Linked DNA regions of Lonchura striata. The protein of the gene in region 1 purifies or fractionates together with the protein of each later gene. This does not show direct contact. Links are inferred from orthologs where the notes say so. Each region holds a gene or a part of one and is shown on either strand. Other genes may lie near its edges.

What was found.
Region 2: the proteins of SLC7A1 (region 1) and HS2ST1 purify together in Homo sapiens (co-immunoprecipitation; 3 studies listed by BioGRID and IntAct, counting the BioPlex papers as one, with this or other methods). This does not show direct contact. The link is inferred for Lonchura striata from reciprocal best matches to the Homo sapiens genes SLC7A1 and HS2ST1.

The regions. Positions count from the first base shown.
Region 1 is NC_134604.1:68,388,776-68,397,251, reverse strand, and holds the start of SLC7A1 (high affinity cationic amino acid transporter 1), read right to left. Parts: upstream 3,294-8,476; 5' UTR 3,178-3,293; intron 1-3,177. UniProt on the Homo sapiens protein: High-affinity, low capacity permease involved in the transport of the cationic amino acids (arginine, lysine and ornithine) in non-hepatic tissues.
Region 2 is NC_134611.1:18,750,376-18,758,605, forward strand, and holds the start of HS2ST1 (heparan sulfate 2-O-sulfotransferase 1), read left to right. Parts: upstream 1-4,838; 5' UTR 4,839-4,948; coding exon 4,949-5,072; intron 5,073-8,230. UniProt on the Homo sapiens protein: Catalyzes the transfer of a sulfo group from 3'-phospho-5'-adenylyl sulfate (PAPS) to the 2-OH position of iduronic acid (IdoA) or glucuronic acid (GlcA) within the heparan sulfate (HS) chain and participates in HS biosynthesis.

The DNA.
Region 1 (8,476 bases):
CCTGACACCTCCAAACGACCCAGGAACCACAGACAATAGTCAAGAATCCTGCAACTAGTGGGCCCATCATATGTCAAGTGAGAGCCGCCCCTTGTTTTGTTTGACCATCAGACTCAGTTATACCTTTTTCTTTTTCTTTTTTTTTTAAATAGGTTTTAGTAGCCAGCAAGACTGCAACAACTGCACTAACAAGGGAGTGCCCAAGTACCAAAACAAACCGACCCTTATGGCAAAACTGCTGTAACTCTTCCCAAAGTCCTTGAGGTTTCCAAGAACCCCACAAGTTTTTTGAGATAAACACTTGGATCATTCATGCTTTCTTTTATACTCGGTGGAAAGCAGATGAGTACATGAGCATGTCAGGTCACAACTCATTTGCTTAAGCGTACAGGGCTGAGGTGAATCACATCCCGGAATGCCCATCCCTCTCCTGGCTAACCATTTTGGAGATGGATGAGTACATATGGCCAGATCAATGCCACCTTCAACACCATTCAACACGTGACAGATTTTCAAAGATTTTGACCTTGGGATAATGAAAGATGGGGATATAACAGGTAATGCAAAAAAAAAATCTAGGATACAGAACACCCATCCTGGTTTACTAACTTACTAACTCTGGGTCAGCATTGACTGCAGCTGACCCCAAACAACTCTGCCCAAAGCACTGAAATATCTCCCCGCACCACTCCACAGAGTTAAATCAGCAGGATTTCCTAGCTCATCCTTCAGGAGTGGCAAAGGGGCTGTGTCGCATCCCCATCTGCCTTGGTAACCAGGATGGCAGAACCAATAAATCCCATCAGGATCAAGCCAACATCTACTCAGCACATCTGCAGACAAAGGAACTCTATTCTCCTCCTGCCCCACTCTACACTGATGCTTTTAGCATCACAGATATGGGGCAAGAGAAGAAAATTAAACTTACCAGTTTGCTTTCTATTCACTTAAACCTAGGATACAATTGGAAGTGACATTTCTGAAAGGCTACCAAAGTCTTGTTAACCTGTCCTCAGGGTTAAGGAACATGCTAGATCAAGAGTGAACTAGGTAGCAGAGGCAGTAATTGCAGTAAGACCCCTGCCCTCCTTCACTCGAACCATATTTCTCCCTCTCTTCTTTCCCATGTACTTTTTCTTCTTTTCCCACTACTCTTTTTTTTCTCCCTCCCTCTTGCACACACCAGGCCAGCAACTGTGCACAACATTAGCTAGAGTGGAACTCACTCCTGTCATCTCAGAATCATGCTATTGTTAAGGTTGGAAAATGACTCCAAGAGGACCAAATCTAACTATTTCCTATGTCACACAACTGAAAGCAGAGACACAGAACTCAAGCATATCAACATGAGAATGAATACTACCTGCCACCTGGCAACAGACTACTCAGGAAGGAAGGAGGAAGAAAAAAAAAAAAAGAAAGGAAAAGAGAAGGAAAAAAAAAGGAGTGACAGATCTTGCAAAAATACGCCTTGGAACTGGTTTCTCCAGTAACTGGTTAAACAGTTACTAGCTTCCTCTTCTCTGAGATAATGCCTTCCGATTAGAAAAGATATTGCAAGAATATACTCCATGAGGAGTGAAGAGCATATTGCATCTCAACCACACACACAACGGAAGTGCCTGAATTAGAAGCCTAGTAGACCTCAGGTTTCTGTTACACCCACTTGAAATAAGAAGTGCCTTCTGAACACACCTCCTCACTGTTAAGCACAGCCCTATAAGCAGCAAGACTCAAAATTTTACAAATACCACCAAAAAGTGGCATAAGTCAGGGACTAAACACCAATTAGCTCCCCTGCCCAAAAAAAAGGCTTTAATTCAAAGCCAACGTGACCATCTAAAGCATGCATGTGATAGAGCACAGTCAAGGTCTGACCCTGTCAGATCACTCAAAATGCAAGATACTTCAAGTACTTGAATGCAAAGCTTGTAACTTTCAAAGCTTGTGGCAAAGCTTGCTCCTGCTTTGTTCCAGGGTCAGCACTTGCAACTACGGAGCCTGTGCCGTTACAGTCTTTTGCATTATATGGAAAGCTTGTCCAAAAAACATGTCCAGATGGCCACTGAAGGCAACACAAGTTGGTAGAGCACCTGACCAGAAGGATAAATTTCTGCCTGTTCTTTCCAAGTGTTCATTGTATTTACCTCTAACTTGGAGACAGCAGTCAAGCATCAGCGAGTGAACTAAGGGCTTCAAGAGGCATTGCTGTGCCACTGCAGAGGGTCCCACATGACGCTTGCATTGCCATGTGTAACCACATCTTCAACACTTGTCCCCGTGGCTTAGCAGAGCCCACAGAGGCAGGCAAAGGGAGGCAGGGTAGGGTATCCTTCACCATGCCGTCGTTGTTCAAGCACAAAGTAACATTTGCAAATGACCACAGGCAAGTGAGCCGGCTATCAAATGAGCACCATTATCATCAACTCTTTGGCTCAGATCTGCAGCCTGTGTAGAGCTGCAATTGCCTTTCTGTCACGACTCTATACAGCACCTACAAAAACACCACCTTGCTCCAAAATTAAAGTTTCTAGCAGCTGACAACAGAGATAACTAGCAATTCCCAATCTAGTCTCAATCTTCCTCTCCAGCCGTAGCTACACACAATTTTCCTCTTAAGGATTTTTAGTGGGTTCCCCTTGCTCCATCACATCTGTCACCCACACATTCACACATACATATGCAGAAAACGATGAAACGCATCATCTCTTAACCAGAACAGCTGCCTGCAAAGTACTGACAATCCAAACGGAGATAATTCCCTGTCCTGCTCAGAGGAGCGGGTTTGGGAGCAGCAGGCTCCAAGAACTCCTGGGATACTGGGCTGGCTATGAGCCCTATGGGCGATACCCCCATTCTCGGTAAATTCTCAGTCTTCTGCAATTTGACTTAGGAAGCAAAGCACAGCACGGCAGAAAAGGGCTTCGGGACATGGCCCAGGGTCTCTCCTCGGCACCGGGGCCTTCACCTCCAGCACAGCACGCTCCCTGCGGCTGCTCGCCCCGCAGAGAAGCTAGGCAAAAGAAGGGATGGGGGTGGCGGTCAGGCGAGGCAGGGACGCGCCGCGGGGCCCGCAGCGGGCCGGGAGCGCCGCGCCGTGCCGCGCCGCGCCGTGCCTGCTGCACCGCGCGAAATGGACGCACCGCGTGGGGCCCGCCCGCCCCGTCCCACACTCACCCAGCCGGGGGCTCGGGCAAGCGGCGAGGCAGCGCAGCCACGACCCCCGGCTCCCCGCCGCCGCCTTAGATCTCCTGCGCGGACACGCCCGCCCGGCCCTGCCTCCCAATGGATGGCAGGCGCTGTTACACGTGGTGTAGGGGTGGGCCGGGGGTAGCGGCGGGATGGAGGGGCGGCCCGGCGCCTGGGAGCCCGGCGCAGCGCCCGCGCAGCTGAACCGCGTGGCGGGGCACGGCCGCGGAGGTGGGGCAGGAAGGGGCTTCACAAGCCAGCTCCCTGCAGACGGCTCATGCCGCGCTGAATAGCTACTCGGTTTTTCTTTTTCTCCTCGTGCTCCCTGGGAGTAGAACTGAGGGCCTGGGTTGGACTAAATCATCCATTCAGCTGTAGCACACATCCTGCTCTAAGAGCTAATGGATTCTGCAGAACGTGGTTGAGCAAAGGATGCCAGCATAAAATGGATGCACTGGGTTATCACAGAATGTTAAGGGTTCGGAATGGACCTTAAAGTTCATCCGTCCTAAACATTCCTGCTGTGGGCAGGGACACCTCCCACTCGACCAGGTTGCTCAAAGCGTTACCCAGTGTGTCCTTGAAGACTGCCACGGTTGGGGTATCCACAGCCTCCCTGGGCAACCTCTTCCAGTGTTTCACCACTCTCAGAGTAAAAAATTTCTTTCTAATATCTAACTTAAATTCCCCCCCCCCCTTTTCAAATTTTACCCATTACTTCTTTTCCTATCACTACAGTTCCTGACGAAAAGTCCTTTTCCAGCTTCCCTGTTGGCCCCCCTAAGATACTGGAAGGCTGCTGTGAGGTCCCCACACAACCTTTTCTTCATGCTGAACAGCCCCTGATAAGCACAGTAGAACAGCATTTCACTCACTTGATAAGGAACAACTTCCTACCAAGGACAGTAGAAGAGAACAGCACAGCCTTGGATAAATAAATAAAGGATGTAAATCAGGCTAACAAAAGTAATGCAAAATGCAAGCAGGATGCCCGATCAGCTCTGCAAGGCTGAAATAGTAGAAGTTAAGCAAAGCAATGATACTGTACTTAATCAAAAGCAGGGGTGAAAGAACATCCCCCTGAAAAGGACACTGGACTTTGATGACAGACCCCAAAGAACCAATAGAAGGTCTTTCATAAGTGTTGTGACTTTGTAAAATAAAGCCGAGGAAGTAGGGATAGCTAATGAATATGTAATCAGCGTTTATGATAAAAACTGTACACCTGACACTCAGGGCATCAGTTAGGGGAAATGTCCTCAAAAAGCCCAGCATGTTCTAATAAAGAATGCCTGCTAGCTGGTACTCAGAACTGTGCTAGAAAGTTTCTATCCAGCTAATTTCAGTACCACGTCTCCCTGTCTGTCTTCACAGAAGAGATGTTTGTCTTGGTTTACAAGATAGATGTCTGCTAGGGAAGGCAGAAAAGCCTCCCTTGGAGCAGAGAATGTGAACATCTTCCCTCCAAATTATTATAATCTTGAAATTAAGGGGCTCTTAGGCAAAGATATGGGAGTAGGAATATCAGTTCTTTACTGGTATGTACAGTAAAGCGAGCAAACAACAACTACTACAGCATTAACACCAGACCGAGCCCGGAACGCGCTGACACCTTTCGGGGCGCCACTTTCCCTTCCGTGCAGTTCCGGGCACGGCCAGCGGGGGCGCTGCTGGCTGCCGGCGGGCGGCGCGGGTGCGGTGACTCCCCCGCGGCTGCAGGGGGCGCTGCGGCGGGCTCGGGGCGCCCTGGCAATGGCAGCTCGGCGGAGACAGGCGGGGCGGAGGAGAGGCTTTGTTCACAAACCCCCGGGGCGGCCGATCTTGGTGTCCCTCGCAGGATTCTCGGGAGCAGCAGGCTGGAAATGGCAGGAATGAGCTGAAATCCTGGGGCAGTGAAAGAGAGTGTCCCAAAACTCCACGGCAAATAGCTGGAAGCTGTGGGGTGTCCTGGCAGGGCAGGGGAATGTGGAGGCCCAGCGGCAGAAGAAAGGTTCCCTGCTGGATTGCAGTGGTAGTAGGAGAAGGCAGCAAGGATGGAGCTGCACAGTGGTGGCGACTTCTCTCCACTGTGCCCACAGCCCCTCTCCAGTGCCGAGAAAGTGAGAGCCAGCCCGGAGCTGTCCTCAGCCCCTTCTCTCAGCCTGAATCTCCCCATCCTCCACATCGCCCCCAGAAAAACTCCCAAAAACTAAAAGAGTTCCCCTTCCCTGCCCTTCTCAAACCATCGGTTCCTATTAGCAACTCAGTGCAAAGAAATTCTACAAGTTTCCATAGGAAAGAACAGAAAAAACCGAAACCCAACCCCCAACAGCGTCCCAGTCCTCTTACCAACATTGTGACCACCCTTTGGACTTGCTCCAACCATTCCATGTCCTTTTTATGTTGGAGACACGAGAACTGTACATGGCACTCCAGGTGGGGTCTGACAAGAGCAGAGAGGGAGAACGGCCTGCAGACCATGCTGCTTTTGGTGCAGCACAGGATTCAATAATGGTAGACACTGATGGACTTAGATTAGGATTTTGACATTACCTCCCATGAAGCACAATGCTCCCAGTCTGGAAAAAACACTGATTAGGAAACTTCAATGGCTGAACCCAAAACTACGGAAAAAGCCCAAAAGAGCAGTGGGTATTGGAAGAACAACATGGTGTCTATTCCATGCTTGACAAGATCCCATTTCCATTACCATTCATAAGTGACCACTATGGGAAAACTGTCCAGTGTGCTGCAGGATGAGACAGCGTCTGAACATGAATCTTGAAAAAACATCAAGATTCAAACTGTCCAAAATAAAGTGGAATTCTAGAAAGGAGGAGAGTGATAGTTAAGGAAAGAAAACCAAATAAGCAACGAGGAACATCTGGCTGAGCAACCAATTAAAATTGCATCAGAGGAGATTTAGATTGGATATTAAGAAAAACGTCTTTAAGTTTTAAGAAAAACAACAAAAGGGATGTCGTGCAAGGGACATGGTGAAGTCACCATTCCTGAAGGTATTTAGAAGATGTGTAGGGACACTGAGGGCTAAGTGCTGGACCTGGCAGTGCTGGGTTAATGATTGGACTTGATGATCTTACAGGTCTTTTGCAACCTAAAAGACTGTTTAGAAAGAGATCAGGAGATTAAAGTGGATCCCAAAAGCCATGTGAGACTGCTGCATGGGACTACTGGTGCTAATGAAATAAAAATACTACCCAAAAGAACTGTATCTTTCTAGTGGAGCACCTTAATTGAAACATATGTAGTATATCGAAAGTAATTATGAAGCTGTAATCAATAGTGCCAAAACTTTAGTACAGTGCTTATTTTGGCATTTTACCATAAAAAAATACATCTACTTGGTGGAATCCTGAAAAAATGCTGGTAGGATCTACATTCATTAAAGAAAAGTGCAAGGAACTGGTTTTTCTTTTCCAGGACAAAGGCAGAGCTGTAGAAAAATCCTTCAGTGATTATGAGGCAAAGGCATAAACACTAAAGGAAAAAAGAAATTGTTTAATGTCAATTACAATTGCACCATGCTCATTAACAATTACCCACCAGAGAGGCTGGAGGACATTTTGAGGGTAAGCATTCACAAAAACCCCTAAAACAATGTTCTACTGCTGTGCTTTTTCATTGGCTGCTCCATGTGAGATCAACAGCTATACCTGTCACATTGCCATCTGCTTCTGCCTATCACTTCCATAGAACCCTGGTCCTCTGTTATTATAGATGTGGTTGCATAAATAAGGGGAGTGGTGGTCTGAGATAATGGCTCCTAAAATAGTTCTGGGAAAGAAATATTCTCTTTTATGCCAAGCTGAAGTACCCGAGACACCAAGTATCAATTAATAGGAAAAAGACCCCAACCAAACAATGATTCTGAAATTTCTCTGCTAGAATTACACTAAAATCAAAGTGATTCAAAAATCACTTCTTGCACCTTAATCCTTTGTTCTCTTTAATTAATCAGCTAGTCTACCTGTCCTAGTTAGTTTTAATCTGTGGAACCCATCCATATCAACTAACAGTATCTCAAATAATCCTTAGACACAAGAGCTGTTAGCACAAGCCTGTGGCCATTCCCTGTTTACATACAAGCACCCTATTTTGGAAAGTAAGAGGATGTAATAGTGCGGACATTAACCATTCTGTTCCATAAGCATTTTCTGTCTTCAACAAGCTTAGCAGACTAATAAAAAAGCAGTCAATACAGCTTTTTGTGGAACAGTGCTTAGGGACATGCCCTGTGTTTAACTACCAAGCATAGATGGATGTGTGAGATGAATACTGCCTTGTCTACCACAAGACCATGATAGGTGAGGCAGAGGAGGGCAGAGCTGCTTTGACTAAGCAGTTCAGCATTTTCTGCAAGATTTATCAAGCCAAGTGTGAAGATGTAACAAAATATGTAATTGGAGTAATGCAGCAGTCCTGTTTAACCAAAAAAACCAGAAGTTAATTACCTCTAACAGCACATGACTGAGGTCATCCAAGATGTCCCAACAACATCTGTGTCATTTGTATCATCCCAGTCTCAGAAGCGAGACTTGTGTCACTCAGGAAGGTGGGCTTGTTTTCTGTCATTGAGGGCACAGTACAGCTTATTTCCATTCATCAAAACTCTTCTCCAAAACATCTCCGTAGCAGGGTGACCACCTCCAAACTTCTCACTGGGAAGAACAATCTGATGCTATCCCATGAACTGTGCACAGGCATTTCCTGAGAGAGGGATATCTTGCTTAGACTGTACCTGTAGCAGGAACTGTTTAACACCATGGACAGTTGAGGACTGGCACACCATCCTGAGCCCTCATCATCCTTAATTTGCTGATACAGGTGTAGCCAAGTACAGGCTGGAGCTGGAGCTGGAGCTGGAGCTGGAGCTTTGCTGTGAACCTAGAACCAGACAAGATGGTTTTGGACAGGTGGCTTTGGCATTCCCTCTTGAGTAGGTCAGACACCACACTAGTTGTTGTAGATTTTAGCCCCCAAAATGTGACTTTCATTTACTAACCAGAAGAATAAGACATCTTCCCTTAGCATTGTACATTTTGTTCCCAGAGCTAAATTAACTTCCTGGTATTACAAGCCTGTGTACCCCCCTAGGTCTGGCCCTTGATGATCCAAGGTGTAATCCAAATACTCTCTTTGATCTCAGCCTCATACTCTGTACACAGCAGCCCCACTTCCTCCTTTTTAAATTTTGTTTCTATTTATACAGTTAACAAACCTTTCCACATTCATCTTCACAGACCTTTGCAAGGTCTAACTCAGCTTGACTTTTGGCATTTGGTGCTAT
Region 2 (8,230 bases), on another chromosome or scaffold:
TCTTTTTTAAATATTAGGCTGAATTTAATTGACAGGAAAAACCTGCTAGATTTCATCATTAATTTCATTACATCAGTTATTTCACTATCTCCTAACCCTTAAAAATAATTTCAGCACCTCTCATCCTTGAAACTTCTACTTTCTTGATAATTCATTTGTCTTCACTATATTCTAGAACACTCTTAAATTACCACATATTAGAAAACATGCATTCTAACAATTCTTCATTGATAACATACCTTAAGGATCACAGATATTTATTTACTACAGATAAAGGAAAGGTTTTGCCTTAAACAGATTGAAGCACAGCATGAGCTCTTTAGACAGATCATTCCCAAAATACCCAGCAGTTCTCAGGGCTGCAGGATGGAATTGAGCAGTCATGCTGCCATCAGGTTTGTGCCACTCCAGGAGCTGGCCTGGAGGCTGCAGCAGCCTCTTGTTGCCCAGGCCTGAACTCAGCTATCTTGGCCATTGTGCTATGGGCCAGTGACCAAGCAGGAGCTGTCATCAAGCACCACTCTCCTCATCCTCTTCTTCTGCCCTCTTCCAATCCCATGGATCTTCCTTTTAAAAGAAGCTGGATATAGTTCCCAAATATGGTGATGTCACACCAGAGAAGGGCTGCCAAAGAACCAAAGGTTCCCTGTTGGTACAGGGCCATTATTTTACAGCAGTATCGCAAGTCTGGAAATCTAGACCCTGTAAGATTTATATTTGGCTATGAATAAATGCTGCTTTTTCCTCTTGAGATGATAACCCAGATTCTCATGTATTTTTTTAAATGAAAAGTTTCATAAAGATGACATGTTAAATTATTCCACAAGGGATTAGTCCAAAACTCACCTTTCTAGTTTCCAGCTGAGCTTCTTCTTGGCAGCACTCCCTGCAGAACGGGTCCAACTGATTCAGATTGAACTGCCCAAGAAGGTTGCAAGAACTGCACAGCAAGTTACTGGAGAAGCCCAGCTCTCTGCAAGCTTCTGATGACAACTGTGCTCCATAAACACTTACCTGAAAGTCAACACAATGTTACACTTAATATTAATTTATTTTGTTAAAAGATGGCTTTAAATGCTGCAATGATTAGAAAGAACAAGTTAGTCACTTGTGACTGTTTTACAGTAATGCCTAAATGGTCAGCCCTAGGGTTCAAAACACCACCCTACTGAGGAGGAGGGTCTTGACCTATCAGGGAGTTCTAGACATTCGTAATATATACATTCCAAGGTATCAGACCTTCCAAAAATAATTTATATACACTTCTGATAGCTCTATTGCTTTCTTATTGCTAAGTTCAAGTTAAGAAGAAAACCCAAAGGTAATGAATTAGCTGAAATGCACATGATTACAGCTTTCCAAAGCCTCCTCTTCAAAAAGAATTTCAGTAAGTTTTGGATCACTGAAAACTCTCAAGGAAAGTAATGTAACAGCTAAACTCAGGAAAAACACACCAGGAAGTGATGAAATTAACCAAAGTGCTCAAAACGACATCCAGGTAGGATTTTAATTTCATGATTGCATTAATGTTCCAGGAAAATTGCACACACTATTAAGTGGAAGTGCAGATAAAAACCTGCAATTCTGATTTATCAGCAAAAGTTTAAGACAGGCCATTCAATTACATGGTTTCTATGCAAAACACCATCTCTGCTTTTTATCGGCGCCAAAATAACGCAACCAATGACAACACTGAAATGATATTTGGGTTTTGTTCTCATAGAATCACTAAGGGTGGAAAAGACCTCTAAGATTATAATTGAGTCCAATCATTAACCCAGCACTACAGTGTTCAGCCCCAAACCCTGTCCCAAGTGCCACATCCATGTGCCTTTTGAACACTCCCAGGGATGGTGATTCCACCACTTCCCTGGGCAGCCCATTCCAGTGCCTGACCACCTTTTCAGTGAAGAAATTATTCCTAATATCCTCTCTAAACCTCCCCTTGTGCAAGCTGAAGCAATCTTCTCTCATCCCATCACTTGCTACCTGGGAGAACAGGCCGACCCCCAGCTGGCCACACTCTCCTTTCAGGCACTTGTAGAGACTGTGAAGCTCCCCCTGAACCTCCTTTTCTCCCAGATGAGCTCCCCCAGGTGCTCCTCACAGAACCTGTGCTCCACACCCTTCCCCAGCTCCACTGTCCTCCTCTGGGCTCACTCCAGCCCCTCAATACCTTTCTTGTAGCAAATTCTCATTCCCACTTTTTTACACATTGGCTTAAAACCTCCCCTTGCAGCTGCTTGCTTTGGAGGGGAAAATGTGAGAGAGGAAATAAGGAAGGGAGAGACAGGAGGTGGCTTTCCCAGATGCTTTTCAGTCTGGGTAAAAGACCCCAGGCACAACCCAGTACATGCAAAGCACCAGAGAAACAATGAGCATCACTGTGCTCAGAGCTGTGACAGGCACCAGCAAACTCAACTGGATGATGACAAGCCAAGACTCAGAAGAACTATGCTGGGTCCAACAGAAAAGTACAGGAGAAAAACTATGTTTGTCATTCAGCAAAACAGACTTCTCCTCACATTCACATGCCATCTAATCCATGCAGCACACCCAAGTTACGTAGAGACAAAACCCATTTCCTCTGCTGAAGTGGCCAGCCTGCAGCTGAAGGAAAGACATGTCACTTGTGTGACAGATAGAACACATTATGGATTGAGGATTGGTAGAAAATGTATTAGGTGCCTCATTATTCTATTTCTCTGTAGGTACTAAAAAAGTCAGAGTTAAAGCACGAACAGAGAAGTATAAAACACAAAAAACCTACTCTGAAATCACTATTTTATCAGGAAAAAAGCTATTTTTCTTCTTCCTACATGGCACTGTATGACAATGGAACCCTGTTCTACTGGAATAATTTAACCTTTTTTAAGGATTTTTACTAAGGTAATTAGTTTTCAAAGTACTGAGTATTTACCTTTTTTCAAGTATTTGTTTTCTAAGGAATACTGGCAATAAGAAATACAACAATGACACAGTAGTATAAAAAGCCCCCAAGGAGCATTCTGAACCCTGCTGAAGCTATATTTTAATTATGGCTCACTTATTAAATTAATGATGCCAATAACTAAAACCATTTTCTTGCACCTTGCTGCTTGCCATCCGCCCCTTTGATGTTTTACTGTCATGTTTTCACTTCAGTGTCACTGAAGTGTCACTGTTCCCCTGGAGCAATAACTGGGCTGTAGCACTGTCACTTTGCTTCCAGCAGCCTCTCTGTGACATCTTTGCCCAGCAGATCCCCAATCCATGAATGTAAAGCCAAGAATCTCCTGAGGACTTTTTTTTTTTGGGTTGTGTGTTTGAGAAAGAACCAACCAAAACACTAACAGTGTATGAAAGCAAGTAAAGGCTCCATTTCATGATAATTCCTCACTCAAGTGGTTTTGGTTACATAGCAAGCTCAAAACACCTTGAGAATAAAAGTACACAGAGGTAAAGGAAAAAATAAATAGAAGAAAGTCTCTATCCCTAATATTTTTACACAATTTTTAGTATCTTAACTACCACATTTTCAGGAAACAATAAATCACTAATCATAATAAATGTCTCTGATTGGGATTGGAAAAAACCCCTCACACTTCAGAAAGCAAATTCCCATCAGAACAAGGTAATTTCAGGCACTTAGTAAGTGATGCGCCTCATTTCATCAGCGTTTTCTCCACAAAGGCTTTGGCTCCAAATACATACTACACTGTTGCTTTGTTTTCACACCAAATAATTTACTGTATTAAAAAAAAAGGCAGCGCCAATGCAAACTATTTTAGAAAAAGGGCAGAAGTAGAGCCCAGTTTCCGACACGGAACGCAAAAGAGGCGCCACGGCCGCAGGAGCGGGAGGAGGCGCGCCCCGGGCCACGTCTTACGCCGCCTTCCCCGCCCTCAACCCCGCTCTTTCTCGCAGGAGCTGCAGCCGCGCTCAGCCCCGAGCGCGACCGCGCCGGCCGGGCTCTCACCGCCTGCAGCCCCAGGAGCCAGCAGAGCCAGCGCCGCCCCAGCGCCCGCAGCTCGGCCGCCGCCGCCATCTCGGTGCCGAGCGCCCCGCCAGCGCCGCCGGGCCGCGGAAGGACCTCACCCACGGCGGGTGACCGACACACCGCCTGATGCGGGAGAGCATAGACTTGCTCCCAGCCCCAGCACTGCAAGCAGAAACTGCTAACCCAGAGTATCTCCTGGAATTCTAGAGCAAAGACATTTTAGCCTGTTCAGAGCAGTGCTTCGCAGCGAGGCTGGAGGAACTACCGTTCCCCAACGCTGGTCGGGCATTGCGGAAACCACCCCGAATAAAGCCCTTTTCCCTTTCTCGGGAACTGCCAACCGTCACCTCGGCCCCAGCCCGGTGACTGACAGCCGGCCCGACCAATACCATTGTGCTTTCCCCACGGCCTGCGGTGCCCGTGCCCAACGAGGAGGGGCGGATGGGCGGGACCGCAAGCAGCGCCTTCCAATCAGAAAGGGACGCATAGAGGCGGGACACCGCCCCGCTCCGGCGGCGCAGCGCGGCTGGGGAGGCGGGGCGAGTCCCGCGCCGGGCCAATCGGACAGCGCGAGGGGCGGGGCCGCGGCAGCGCCGCCCAATGGCGGGGCCGCGGGGCGGGGCCCAGCGCGGCCGGCGGCGGCGGGGGCGGGGCGGGCGCGCGGCCGGGCGTTCGGTTGCCGAGCAGCGCGCGCAGGGCGGGCGGGGCGGGGCGGGGCGCGGCGGGGGCCGGGCCGGGCCGGGCCGGGCCGGGCCGCGCGGGCGGGGCGGGCGCGCTGCGGGCCGCGCGCGGCGATGTGAGAGCGGCGGCGCCGGGCCCTGTGCGCGCCCCCGGGCCCTGTGCGCGCCCCCGGCCGCGCTCCCTCCGTCCCTGCTCGGCCGCGCCGTCGCCGCGGCTCCCGCCGGCCCCCGCGGGCCGGGCCCCGCGTTATGTCGTGATCCCGGGCGGGCGGCGCTGCTGCTGCTGCTCATGGGGCTGCTCAGGATTATGCTGCCGCCCAAGTTGCAGCTGCTGGCGGTGCTGGTGTTCGGGGTGGCCGTGCTGTTCCTGGAGAACCAGATCCAGAAGCTGGAGGAGTCCCGCGGCAAGCTGGGTGAGCGGCGGCGGGCGCGGCCGGGGGCGCGGGGGGCTGCGGGAGCCGGGCCGGGCCGGGGCAGCCCCGGCCGCGGGCGCTGCCGTGCCCCGGCGCCGCGGGACCGGGTCGGGGCGGGCCGGCTGCTCTGCAGCAGGGGCTGTCCGCGGCAGCCTTGGCCTCTGAGCGCATCTGTTTGCTCTGGGCGGTCGGGGCTGGGAGGACAGGCGTGTCTCCCGTGTCCGAAGGGGCTCTGGCAGAGCCGCGGTGCCCCCGGCCGTGGGCAGCGGCCCCCGGCCCTGCCGGTGCCTCCTCGGGCACCTGGCGAGGCAGGGGAGCAGCAGCCGCGGCGCCCGAACCGAGGCTGGTGCTGCTGCTGCTGCAGCCAATTACCATCCTCACATCTCATTCCTAATTCTGACTTTTTACTAACGCTTGGCACTGTAATGGAAAGCACGGTGTAAAGGAAAGAAAGCTAAAGATTTTGCTCTTAATGACAAATGGGTAATTTGTTTACCACTCATTTAATGTAGGATGTTATTTTCTGCATTTACTGAGTGTAGTTAGTGATTTCCTAGACTGTCACTGAGCTGTGCTAAAGTGAAAAGCGGTGAACTAGAAATCTCTTGTGTAAAATTTCTTCTACTTTTCCTGCCTGAAAGGATATTTTTAGAGTAATATCTGCCTAATAGGTAATATTTTACTTATTTTACTACTTTTTTCTGTTGTACATAAGGCTGCAGAACTTGTAAAGATTTTACATTGCTTAATTAAGGGTCTCCTGGATGTGAAAAAACACCATTCTCAACCTAATTTGTGGTGCCTAGGAGTTGTGAAAACAGAGCACTGAGACTTCTGGTGTATACAAGATAAGGAACTGGTTTGCAAACATTGTGGATTTGCTTTCTCCTATTATTTAACTATACAAAATATTTACATTATTAACAGTAGTTAATAGAGTAAATTGAAGTTTGTAGGAAGAAAAGTGCACATTGTGTTCCTTCTGGTGTTAACAGTAGAAGTGGATTTGAGTGACATGGGAAGTTTAACAATGAGTTTTTAACAGAGTCCACATAACTTAATGTTGAGCTGTATGAATGCCATTGGGATTTTACTTCACAGCATTTCTTTTCCTCTCCACTCTCTGAACTGCATATTAGTGATTAGGGCCCTGGAAATTGCAGTGGTTGCCTGAGGTGAGGGAGGCCCTTACTCTGCATACTTTTCAACTGAAAGTTCTTACCAGTTATAATTGAGGCATTTTTTTGCAGAGTCTCAATAACTGTAAACAAGCATTTGAAGAAGAAAACTAAGGAAATTGGAAGATAAAGCAAGCAAGTGTTGCCACAGTGCTGAAGGTTCAGTGGTACTTTGTATACATCTGCTTTAAAGTGGTTCATAGCCATGGCTTCAATGCTTCTGTTGCTGACAGTGTGTGTTACTTTAGGGAAATCTCTTGGCATGAAAAGGATAACATAATGTGTGTGAGAATAAAGAATTTTGCTGATAAAACTTCTTCCTCCCTAATATATATGCGATGGACATGTTTAACTTACATATTTAGAGGATTAAAATACTCAAACTGCTTTGGGACAAGAATCTAATCTGATTTTTTTTCTTGAGGAGAAGGGAAAACTATTGTGAAGTTTCTTAAAATTAAAATGGAAAGATTTGCTTTGTGTGCAACTTACTGGTGGCTCTCCAAAACCTGTGGAAGGAAGGGGAAAAGAACTTTCTACAGCAGCTTTGAACTCAGATTCCAGTTTTTTGTATGAGAGTATGCTTGTTAAAAAGCTTCTAATTGTCTGAATGTCTCCCTTATCACATCTGGTATGTATTTTATGACTAGCAAATATTCATATTTCATTATGGCTGTTTTTTACTATCATGATTGGTTAGATTTCTCCCGAGCTGCATTGTGGAAAATGTTTTTTCCAGATCAAAGTATTTAATTGGCCTAATACACTTGAATGCAAATTTTCTTCCCTGCCTCCTAAAAGAATGGTGTGGGTATGTGTGGAGTGATACTATGCTTTGAGGGTAAGGACAAAGTAGCTCTTTCAGTTTTGTTTCAGTGGGTGCTTTATGTCAAAAATCTTGTTACACAGTGTTTGGGGACTGGGTTTTGAGCTATGCCATGTGTTTACATTGATGTATCATATGATAAACTGTCATCTTGGAAAGTTCTTGTAAGAGTTAGGCATTGGCTAGGAAAACCAAATTACTTCAGATTTGATAGGAAAATAATTGTGCAGTCTTATTAGCAGTTCTAAAAATGTTCAACTGTACTTTCAGACAGAAAGGGCTTTATCCAAATCCTTCTCATATGAGCAACTCCAAATTCTGTAGTGAACAATTGGGGGCCCTAATTTCAGTTTAATAACTTAAAATATCTTGCCTATAAAGTGAAATTGGAGCGTGTTTCAGGGTGAAAAAGGAATAGGAACCACTTTTTTTTTTTTCTCTAAAACTTTATATGGGTAAGCTTGGTCACCCTGGCAGGCTTCTTAGTTGAGAAGTGAAGGACATATAAGCAAATGACCATCACAAATGCTGCTGCTTTTTGTTGACAAAATTGCTATGATCCTTTAAAAGGGTATTTATAAACATGTGGGCTTTTTCATATGAAAAATGACTTCCTAATTAAAGAAGGTAAATCAAAATATTAACTTCTTCGCAGCTATGTACAAGCAGTTTGTAGTGGTGAGATCACAAGCAGAATGTGAACAATTTGAAATATGTTTTTTGTGAGATTTCTACCTACAGCTATTAATCTTTCATATTATTTTCAAGTTTACATGATAAATTTGCATGCTCTCCAGACTAAGCTGTCCCTAATTGCCAGTGAGAACTTTAAAGTTTTTATTTAAGCATGGTGTAGGTATGTGCCCTAGCTCTAGGAATGCACAGGTCTAATAGAGAATATTGCACATGAAAGGCAAATGTTGAGGTTTAACTGTTGTTCGTGGAACAGAAGGACAGAAGTAATGTCTGGCTGTCCCTTTTGGGTTTTGGAGTGCAGCTCTGCCTTCGGTATAAATTGACCTAGCATTTAATATGTTTTATGTGTACCATGCCATCTCCTGCATTGTCATTAGTATTTGTGGTGCATTGGATCAAAAAAATGATCCAGCTGGATGTAATCAATCTTCTCTTCCCTCCACAAGATTTTGTAATCT